Oryctolagus cuniculus: one gene and its partner. The protein of the gene in region 1 purifies or fractionates together with the protein of each later gene. This does not show direct contact. Links are inferred from orthologs where the notes say so. Each region holds a gene or a part of one and is shown on either strand. Other genes may lie near its edges.

The links.
Region 2: the proteins of ESS2 (region 1) and protein FRA10AC1 purify together in Homo sapiens (co-immunoprecipitation; 3 studies listed by BioGRID and IntAct, counting the BioPlex papers as one, with this or other methods). This does not show direct contact. The link is inferred for Oryctolagus cuniculus from reciprocal best matches to the Homo sapiens genes ESS2 and FRA10AC1.

The regions. Positions count from the first base shown.
Region 1 is NC_091452.1:26,941,863-26,946,873, forward strand, and holds the start of ESS2 (splicing factor ESS-2 homolog), read right to left. Parts: upstream 3,204-5,011; 5' UTR 3,153-3,203; coding exon 3,018-3,152; intron 1,890-3,017; coding exon 1,721-1,889; intron 1,622-1,720; coding exon 1,526-1,621; intron 448-1,525; coding exon 272-447; intron 172-271; coding exon 54-171; intron 1-53. UniProt on the Homo sapiens protein: May be involved in pre-mRNA splicing.
Region 2 is NC_091446.1:37,010,096-37,014,628, forward strand, and holds part of protein FRA10AC1, read left to right. Parts: intron 1-1,917; coding exon 1,918-1,994; intron 1,995-3,040; coding exon 3,041-3,124; intron 3,125-3,944; coding exon 3,945-4,029; intron 4,030-4,533. UniProt on the Homo sapiens protein: May be involved in pre-mRNA splicing.

The DNA.
Region 1 (5,011 bases):
GCGCGCGCGAGGCTGCACCTCCCTCTTCAGGCACCAGGGGCACAGCCACTCACCCTCTGGGTAGTACATGAGGGAGTTCTTGGCCTTGTACTTCCAGGTCTCCACGCCGGACTGGCTGCTCTCGATGGCCTGGCGCTCTGCTGATGGGAGTGCAAGGTTATCTTTCTGTCTCTGCAAGCACATGGGGGAAAGTTGAGGCTCACAGGGGTCCTGGCCCTGGGACGCCCTCTCCCCAGACAGGGGCCCCTGCACCCCTGCGCCCCAGCGTCACCTTCTCAAACTCCTCCTCGGCCTGGTACAGCCAGGCGTGGCGGGCTCGGTTCTTCTCCTTAGCCACCTCCATGATCTCCTGGAAGGAGGCGTTGTCCTCGCTGGTGTAGCGGCTCAGGAAGACATCCAGGCTGGGCAGCGGCTCCTTCTCTTCCTCTTCCTCTCCAGCCTCTCCTGCTTGGGGTTACAGACAGGGCACGCGGTACACAACCAGCACAGACACCACTCTTCACTCAGCAGGGAGAGCAGCGCCCGGTCCCGGGAACAATGCTGGGAGCAGGGCTGGCATCCGCACAACCCTGGGCCTGGGCGCTGCCCGTGAGGGCCCACACTGCCCGAGGAGGCCCCCTTGAGCTCGGTGTCCGCCCACCGACTGCCCAGGAGCATCTGAGGGCACGCTACAGATGCCTGGTCAGCTGCACTCACCTGCTGGGTACTAACAGAACCCTGGGACCTGATTCAGACTAGGGGGCCAGGTTGGGCATCATCTTTTGCCAGTCCTAGAAGACCTAACCTCCAAAGCGCCTAGCCGTCTCCTTCCCTCCTTAGGATGTCCTTACCCTAACTACTCTTCCTTCTCTTTTGTTGTTCTAGGCCCCGAGGGCAGGGACCCCTATGAGCCAGCGTTCTGGATGAGGCCTTGCGGGTGTGGGGCCAACTGCCCGGGGGTGAACACACACCGTGGCACCTGTGCTACTGCAGCAGGCTGCGGACTAGAGCCTGACAGCCAACGGCACCTTGTCCACCTACACGTGCATGGACGCCGGAGACCTGACTGTGGTGTGGGGGCCACTTAAACTCGGCTCTTCCCTGGAACACTCCCTTCTCACAGCTGGGATGTGTGACCCACGCCCCGGGGAAGTATGGTGGGAGAGACCTCATTCACACGCAGCGAAAGCACACAGCCCCCACCCAAGACGGAGGGGAAGGTGGCTGAGGAGGGCGGCGATGACCTAGACAGATGCCTTTCTCCATGACATGTCCTAAACACACACACACACAACAAGCAAGCAAGCAACAAGCACAGAGGCCCTGAGATGCCTTCAGGAGGTAAGGAGGAGGGGGAGCCCGCAGGGTGGGAGCTGGCCAACCCGACACTGACCTTTAGTGGCCCAGGGGCCAAGGGCTGCCTCACCCGTGGGCCCTGGGACAAGATGTGATGTACAGCCCCTTGGACCACCCCCACCCAGGGGCACACGGGGGAGGGGTCTCCCAGGCGATCCTGGCTACGTGACTGGAAGCTGAGCACCCTTACCATCCTCCAGGCCTCGGCCCCGGGGCCTGAGCTTGCTGCCCACCGCGGCAGTGCCTGTGTGCACCTCGGGGGTTTCAAACGTGGCTGGGGTCACATCTGGGAGGGGGGAGAAGGGAGGTAGGGATTAGAGTGAGTGAGGCAACTGCTCAGCGGGTTCTCCTCTCCCTGCCCCCGACCCCCACAAGGTCCTCTTACAAGGTGGCGGGGGTTCTCGGGACATCTTGCCCAGGGCAGAGCCAAACTTGATGGCGATCTGGCGCATCCGTTCCAAATCGCCATTCTCCTCGGCCTCCAGGTACTCCTTCTGGGCCTGCAGCTTCTCCACGTCGGGAAAGAAATCTCTCTGGATGACCGCCTGCAGGCCCTGTCAACAACAGAACGGAGCTGCCCACCAGGGTTCTCGGTCAACCCCCTTTCACGTGCCTGCTGAACGGCGGGGCTTCGTCAGAGGAGCCTGGGGCCCTGTGACTCTGCCGCAACACCCAACATTACTGCTCCGTCGTCTTTCCCGCCACTGACTGGTCCTTCTCATTCTCCCTTCGCCCGCTGTATCCACACATCCCGGGGGCAACCCTCTACTTTCTTTTTTTCTTTGACAGGCAGAGTGGAGAGAGAGAGAAACGTCTTCCTTTACCATTGGTTCACCCTCCAGTGGCCACTGCAGCCGGCGCGCTGCGGCTGGTGCCTGGAGCTGATCTGAAGCCAGGAGCCAGGTGCTTCTCCTGGTCTCCCATGGGGTGCAGGGCCCAAGCACCTGGGCCATCCTCCACTGCACTCCCTGGCCACAGCAGAGAGCTGGCCTGGAAGAGGGGCAACCGCGACAGAATCCTGTGCCCCGACCAGGACTAGAACTCGGGGTGCCGGCGCCGCAGGCAGAGGATTAGCCTAGTGAGCCGCGGCGCCGGCCCAACCCTCTACTTTCAGGCCAAATTCCCTTCCGCCGGAGAGTGCCGAGGCTGCTGCAGCCCCAGCCAGAGAGACCTTGCGCCTGAGCTGCACACCTGCCAGCCGGCGGTCCCCCGGTGCCACCCGCCAGCCAAAACCAAGCCGGCTTCCTCCCATCACCGCGTAGCTCCTTCCACTGCGCGCGCACGGGGGGACCACACCTACTGCACGGGCGCCAGAGACCACTGGCTCAGTGATGCCACCGCAACCGCAGGACCCTGTCGCCGCTCTCTAGAAACCCCTCATCGTCTGTCACGCCCCCCCTCGCGCGTCCACACAACACTTTAATGTCCTGAACTCCCAACCACAAACGCACGCAGGCGCCCCCTCTCCAAACGCCTCTTCCATCAAGCCCCCCTCCCGCTACACCGTTTAATTGGCTCTCGGGGCTGGCCAGAGCCCCCCACCCCAGCCCCCAAGGACGGGGCCCCGGCTGTTTCACTTCCACGAAGGGACCGAAATGCCAACACAGGAGACAAGGGACCCGAGAGGAGCGCAAAGTGGCAGCGGGAGCCGGAAGTCGGCGGCGTCCGCCCTGCGGTCGCACCTCGATATACTCTTCCTCGTCCAGCACTCGCTGCTTGCTGGGCGCGGCCCCAGAATCCCCCGCCGCGCGCTTCTTCGGCTGTCCGGAGGCAGCCGGGAGCAACAAGGCCCGGGTCCCTGAGCCCGGCGTCTCCATCTCTATCCCAGCACCGCTCAGAGGCTGCACAGGCGTGTCTTAGGGGCGGGACTGCACCGTGTGCGCAGGCGCCTTGAGCAGCTGGCCAATGGCGAAGCTGTGCGTTTGTAACGAGGGCCCGCGCACAGTACTGACGTCAGGAGGAGCGCAGCGCCTTCTGGGAGTTGTAGTGTTGGACATGTCCCGTGGCGTTCGCGCGCGTCTGGGCTGTGAGCACGCGGGGGCGCTGTGAAATTTCAGCACGGAGGAATCGGAATTGATCACAGACCACAAACAAATGTACGCTTCATCGTCATGAACAAAAACATAGGCTTCAGAAAACTTGGTTAGGTGCGCATTGCAGACTTTATGCAAGAAAAGCACTCCAGGACAATTCTTTCTGGATTGCTACCTAACACAGGGTTTAAAAAAAAAAAAAAAAGTGGCTCAGGAAGAGTTTGAACTTGGGGAGCAGTGCCCTGGCGGGGAACGTCCCCGAGGGAAACAGCAGCTGGCTGTAGATCCAAAGAATGAATGTACAGGCGTGAGCGACCAAGGGCTGGAAGAGCTTGTGCACAGACACAGTGGCCCAGCAGGTCCCCAAGGACACCTCTGGATATGCAGAGTGCAGTGGACCGCGAGGGGAAAACAGACACAGGGCCAGGCTGCCGCAGGGCCTCTTGGGTCCCCGTGAGGAGTTCTGTCTTTATTCTGCAGGAAAAGGGGAGCCAGGGGTGCAGGTGGGCACGACTGGACACAGTTGCAATGGTCAAGGAAAGAGGTGGGGGTCATTGGAGCTGCACAGAAGGAAGACTGATTTAGGGGTCAAAAATTTCCCTGCTGGGACCAGCGCTGTGGTTCAGCAGGTTAAAGCCCCGGCCTGTAGCGCCAGCATCGCATCTGGGCACCGATTCCAACATAAAGGAGCCTGGAAGGGGGGAGGGGTGCTGTCCCAGCCTGCAGGGGAGCTGACCGGGCCACAGTCACATCCACAGATAAGCCAACTCAAGTTTCCAAGGACAAGAGTAGAGCCTTGTGACAACCGGGGGAGGCGTGGGCACGGGAGGGAGTGGACAGAGGAGCTACCTGTCCTGCAGGCATCTGGCAGGGTTAGGGCAGCTCTGGCCAGGGACACCAGAGCCGCTGGCCAGGCTTGGCTTGTCCAACCCCTACTGCTGTCCTAGTTTGGATGGCTGCACTGTGTCCCTGCAGGTACCGCCACTCCCCCACCCCCACCCCGCGCACCCCCAGGACCACGGGAAGAGACAGGAACAGGATGCTGAAGCTAGGGGAAGGGCTTCTAGGAACTTCTAGAAGCCTTGTTGGCACGCTGTCCATCACCCTGTGGTTCAGGATGGTGGAAGAACAGAAGGAGGAGGCGTTTGTCCAGGAAGTGGGGAGCAATCTCCCCAACCCACCCTCCTCCTGCCCCACCCAAGGAGGGAGGCAGATCACTTCTCCCTACCCCCCCCCCCAGCATGAAATTCCCCAGGTGGAGGCACCGAGGACCTCCACCCAAGAAGCAGCACTTGGAAGCCAGCGCAGGGAGATCCCCGAGGGTGCCCGGTCACCGTCCCGGGAGCTCTCTGTTCAGGCACAGAGATTTGGGCTCTGGACTGATTCTGGTCCTGCTGTTGTAGCTGCTGGCTTATCGCTCGGTATCAGCAGGAGGCGCCAAGATTAGGGAGAAAGCAAGGTCCCTGAAGTCTCCATTCTACAGGTCTGCGCCCCCAGACCAAGTGTGGACTGTGATAGGAGGGGCCACAGTAAGGCGAGGCCAGCAGGGGTGCGGGTGCCACTGGGGAGAATCTGGGTGTAGGGGTGGGGTGGGCGGTGGTTCTGTCCCAGGCTGGAGTGAATGTCTTGTGGGGTGGGACTGT
Region 2 (4,533 bases), on another chromosome or scaffold:
AATGTAGTCTTCAGATGTTGTTGCATCTACTGAATGTCCAGGACCTGTTTGAGCACGCTCCTAACTTCCCTGTGTAACATGAGCTCCATGTTAGGCCACTGTTGCGTGGGTCTTGGCTGAACAAATCACATTCAGGCTTTGCTGACTCCCCAGTTGGTTCACATAGAAAACCTCATTGGTGTACACCTTGACCGATCAACTGACCTTTCCTTCCCCTTTTAGAAATTTATAAAAGTCCAACCCAGGCAGTCCTGACAAGCAGACCCTTGCAGGGCAGTCTCTCCCAGATGTTGGACACTTTCTCTGCTTCTTTAAATAAACTTCCTTCACTTTGCTTGCTCTTAAATAAACTTCCTTTGCTCGCTCTTCCTTGTCCACGTGCTCATTCTTCATGGTCACGAGACAAAGAACTTGGCAGAGAAGAGAGGCAACACTCAGTGAATCCAGCAGAGAGGAGATGCTGTGACCCCACATGAGAGGAAAGGCTATAACAGTTGTAACACAGAAAACTGCAACTCTGTAATGGCTGGAGCTGAGCCTATCTGAAGCCAGGAGCTTCTGCCTGGTCTCCCACGTGGGTGCAGGGGCCCAAAGACTTGGGCCATCTTCCACTGCTATCCCAGGCAATAGCAGAGAGCTGGATCGGAAAAGGAGCAGCTGTGACTCAAAACTGGCACCCATTTTAGGATTTAATATTAGAGAAGTAGCATCTTCAGAAACTTTATTACTGAAATAGCTGACTTTTATAATGATGAAAAGTATATTCTGCTTCTTACCCTTAATTTTAGAAAACATAATTTATTTATTTTTCCCACTATAATTATTAGAATGAGCAGTGGTGTGAGGCTATCGTCCAACAATAGAATAGGAAGCTCTCTTTCTCCCTACTTGGAAATATGTTTGATCAGAAGAGTGGTATGTGTTTGCAAAATATTCCAGACGTTATAAATTGTATTCAGTAGAAAACGAAAGTCTTACTTTACAATCTTCATTCTTTTTTTTTTTTTTTTTTTTTTTTTTTGGACAGGCAGAGTGAACAGTGAGAGAGAGACAGAGAGAAAGGTCTTCCTTTTGCCGTTGGTTCACCCTCCAACCGCCGTGGCCGGCGCACCGCACTGATCTGAAGCCAGGAGCCAGGAGCCAGGTACTTATCCTGGTCTCCCATGGGGTGCAGGGCCCAAGGACTTGGGCCATCCTCCACTGCACTCCCTGGCCACAGCAGAGAGCTGGCCTGGAAGAGGGGCAACCGGGACAGAATCCGGCGCCCTGACTGGGACTAGAACCCGGTGTGTGGGCGCCGCAAGGCGGAGGATTAGCCTAGTGAGCCGCTGCGCCGGCTTACAATCTTCATTCTTAATAATTCAATATAGCGGCGCCGGCTTACAATCTTCATTCTTAACAATTCAATATAGCTGGCACCGCGGCTCACTAGGCTAATCCTCCACCTTGCGGTGCCGGCACACCGAGTTCTAGCCCCGGTCGGGGCGCCGGATTCTATGCCGGTTGCCCCTCTTCCAGGCCAGCTCTCTGCTGTGGCCAGGGAGTGCAGTGGAGGATGGCCCAAGTGCTTGGGCCCTGCACCCCATGGGAGACCAGGATAAGTACCTGGCTCCTGCCATCGGATCAGCGCGGTGCGCCGGCAGCAGCGTGCGGCGGCCATTGGAGGGTGAACCAATGGCAAAGGAAGACCTTTCTCTGTCTCTCTCTCTCTCACTGTCCACTCTGCCTGTCAAAAAAAAAAAAAAAATTTCAATATATGCCCTTGTAGATTTTTTGAATGTATAAGCACGTATAGTACATATTTGCATAATAATAAAAAGCTAAATAAACTCATGCTTTTTTTTTTTTCACTTGGTAATATATCATGACACAGAACAAATCCTAAGTGAGTACCATCCTTAATTGTTTGCATTTCAGTATCAAAGGCATACGAAGTTCGTAAATGACTATATTTTATACTATGGTGGCAAAAAAGAAGACTTCAGACGTTTGGGGTAAGTATCATGAAGCTGACCTAAAATGAGAGGACTGTGTGGGTGACTTTAAAGACACACAGCTACTGTATCTTTTGACTGCATTTTCACTCTCTCCCTACTTTCTATCCAGTTTTCTTGTTGTATCACAAGGTGGAGAGGTCATCCACAGCTTCTAGCTAAATAGCTTTTCATGAATCCCATTTCTTTGGCGGCAGGCCTCAGGTTACCTACTTACCTCTTGAGCTAGCTACAACCCTGGCAATACAGGGTATATGAGGAATATTTGTGTGTCTTATTGGAAAGGATCTTTGAAGTAATGAAATTTGTAGACTTGAATGTTTGAGAATGTTTCAGATAGAACAAACAAGCAACCTCACCTTTCTCACACACGAGTCTTTCCTGTATCTTTGGCTTTTCTATTCAAATGTCTTGATTTTGCATAGATTTTTTTTTTCCTTCCTCTGACTTTTTTCTACTCTGATAGTGCCCTAAGAAACTTTAGTACTATCTCATCTACCCCAAGTTTATCTCCTCTATCATTATCCTATGTCCTCTAACAATCATTTACTCTACTTCTAGACTGTCAGCATTGATCTTGAGAGATCATCTCTTTCAATTTTATTCCCCTTACTCAGTCTTCCTAGGAAACTAGTAGAATGAAGTATGGAAAACTTTTTATACTTTTAAAAATTAGATCTTAATAAAATAATATTACTGACTTTTGGTTAGATCCTGAAACTTATTTTCATTTGCTTTACTTATTTAGTGTTTATTTAGGTTTCTCATCCCAGCTTTGGTAACTTAGCACTGTTTGTGAAATTGAGCCCAGTACTGGAGATGGAAGGATTCTGTATCCATTTAACCTGCTTCTATAGCAGCATTCTTTAAGAGTGCCTTTTGAAAATACTGATGTAGTTTTTATAAATATGTGTATATACTCACTTAAAACTATTTTTATGTATCATGTTTTATTCAAGTTTTCAAAAAAATCAGCAGAACTGTTTAACCTCCTAAATGTGACTAATTTTATTTTTATATTAGATTGCAATACTCTTATTTTCCAGGGAAAATGACAAGACCGATTTGGATGTTATACGAGAAAATCATAAATTCCTATGGAATGAAGAGGATGAAGTAGACATGACGTGGTAATTTTTGACATCAAGCATAATGCATCAAATGCTTTAGTCCTGTCTCTGCTGTTTTCAGACTTTGTCACTATCTGACTTTTTACTGATTTCTCATTCCTTGACTTAGTTATTAAAAAATGACCTTTCTGGCCGGTGCCGTGGCTCACTAAGCTAATCCTCCGCCTTGCGGCACCGGCACACCAGGTTCTAGTCCCTGTCGGGGCGCCGGATTCTGTCCCAGTTGCCCCTCTTCCAGGCCAGCTCTCTGCTGTGGCCAGGGAGTGCAGTGGAGGATGGCCCAAGTCCTTGGGCCCTGCACCCCATGGGAGACCAGGATAAGTACCTGGCTCCTGCCATCGGATCAGCGCGGTGCGCCGGCAGCAGCGTGCGGCGGCCATTGGAGGGTGAACCAATGGCAAAGGAAGACCTTTCTCTCTGTCTCTCTCTCTCTCACTGTCCACTCTGCCTGTCAAAAAAATTAAAAAATTTAAAAAAAAATGACCTTTTTTAATAATGTTGTGCCTTGTTTTGTAACATGCTTTCTTTTAAAACTTCTAAAATATTTTAGGAAAAGTAATACCTGAAAATTGTATAAGAAATCCAAAAGGTAAAAAGTAAAGATTAATTGTTTTTCTCATTTCTAACTATCCTTAAGTTTCTCTCCCTGAGAACCACCATTAATAGTTAATATCCAGCTATTCTATGCATATGTAAGTAATAGGCCTCTTTTAAAACATTAATATTTATATCATATGCGTTATTTATGTGACATTGCTTCCAAGCAGTGGACTATAGTTGAATTTCTAAGTGTATAATATTTATATTTTTGTGGATCTAGGGAGAAGAGACTTGCAAAGAAATACTATGATAAATTATTCAAGGAATACTGCATAGCAGATCTCAGTAGATACAAAGAAAATAAGGTATGCCTTCCAGATATTGTAGAATGAGGTTCTTATTCAATATAATTTTTGTTATACTCTCATGCCTAATTTTAGTCTAAATTGTCCTATAAGATGCCATTTGGACCATTTAACCTCTGCAGCTATGGAATTTACAGTTACCCTATGGAATTTATAGAGATAAGGGTGTTTCTTTTAGAGCTGAGCCATGAAAAGGCTAAAATTAAACACAAGTGCCTTGGTCTTGTTTCATCATTTGACTCTAGTCTAGAGCCTCTGGTGATTATAATGAATGATGGAACTTTGCAGAGCAATGTCTTCTTTCACAGATGATGTTTGAAATTGGTAGATTTTTAAAAATTACTATTTCTAGGGAAGCAGATGCATAGCCTGTGATACATAAATGTAATGTCTATTCTAGAAAAATTGAATTTTAAATTGTTGCTAACTAGTATTGACAGATTTCCCTTCCCACTTCACATATCATTTTAGTTAATATTGAAGTTATTTTTATTCCTAGCTTAA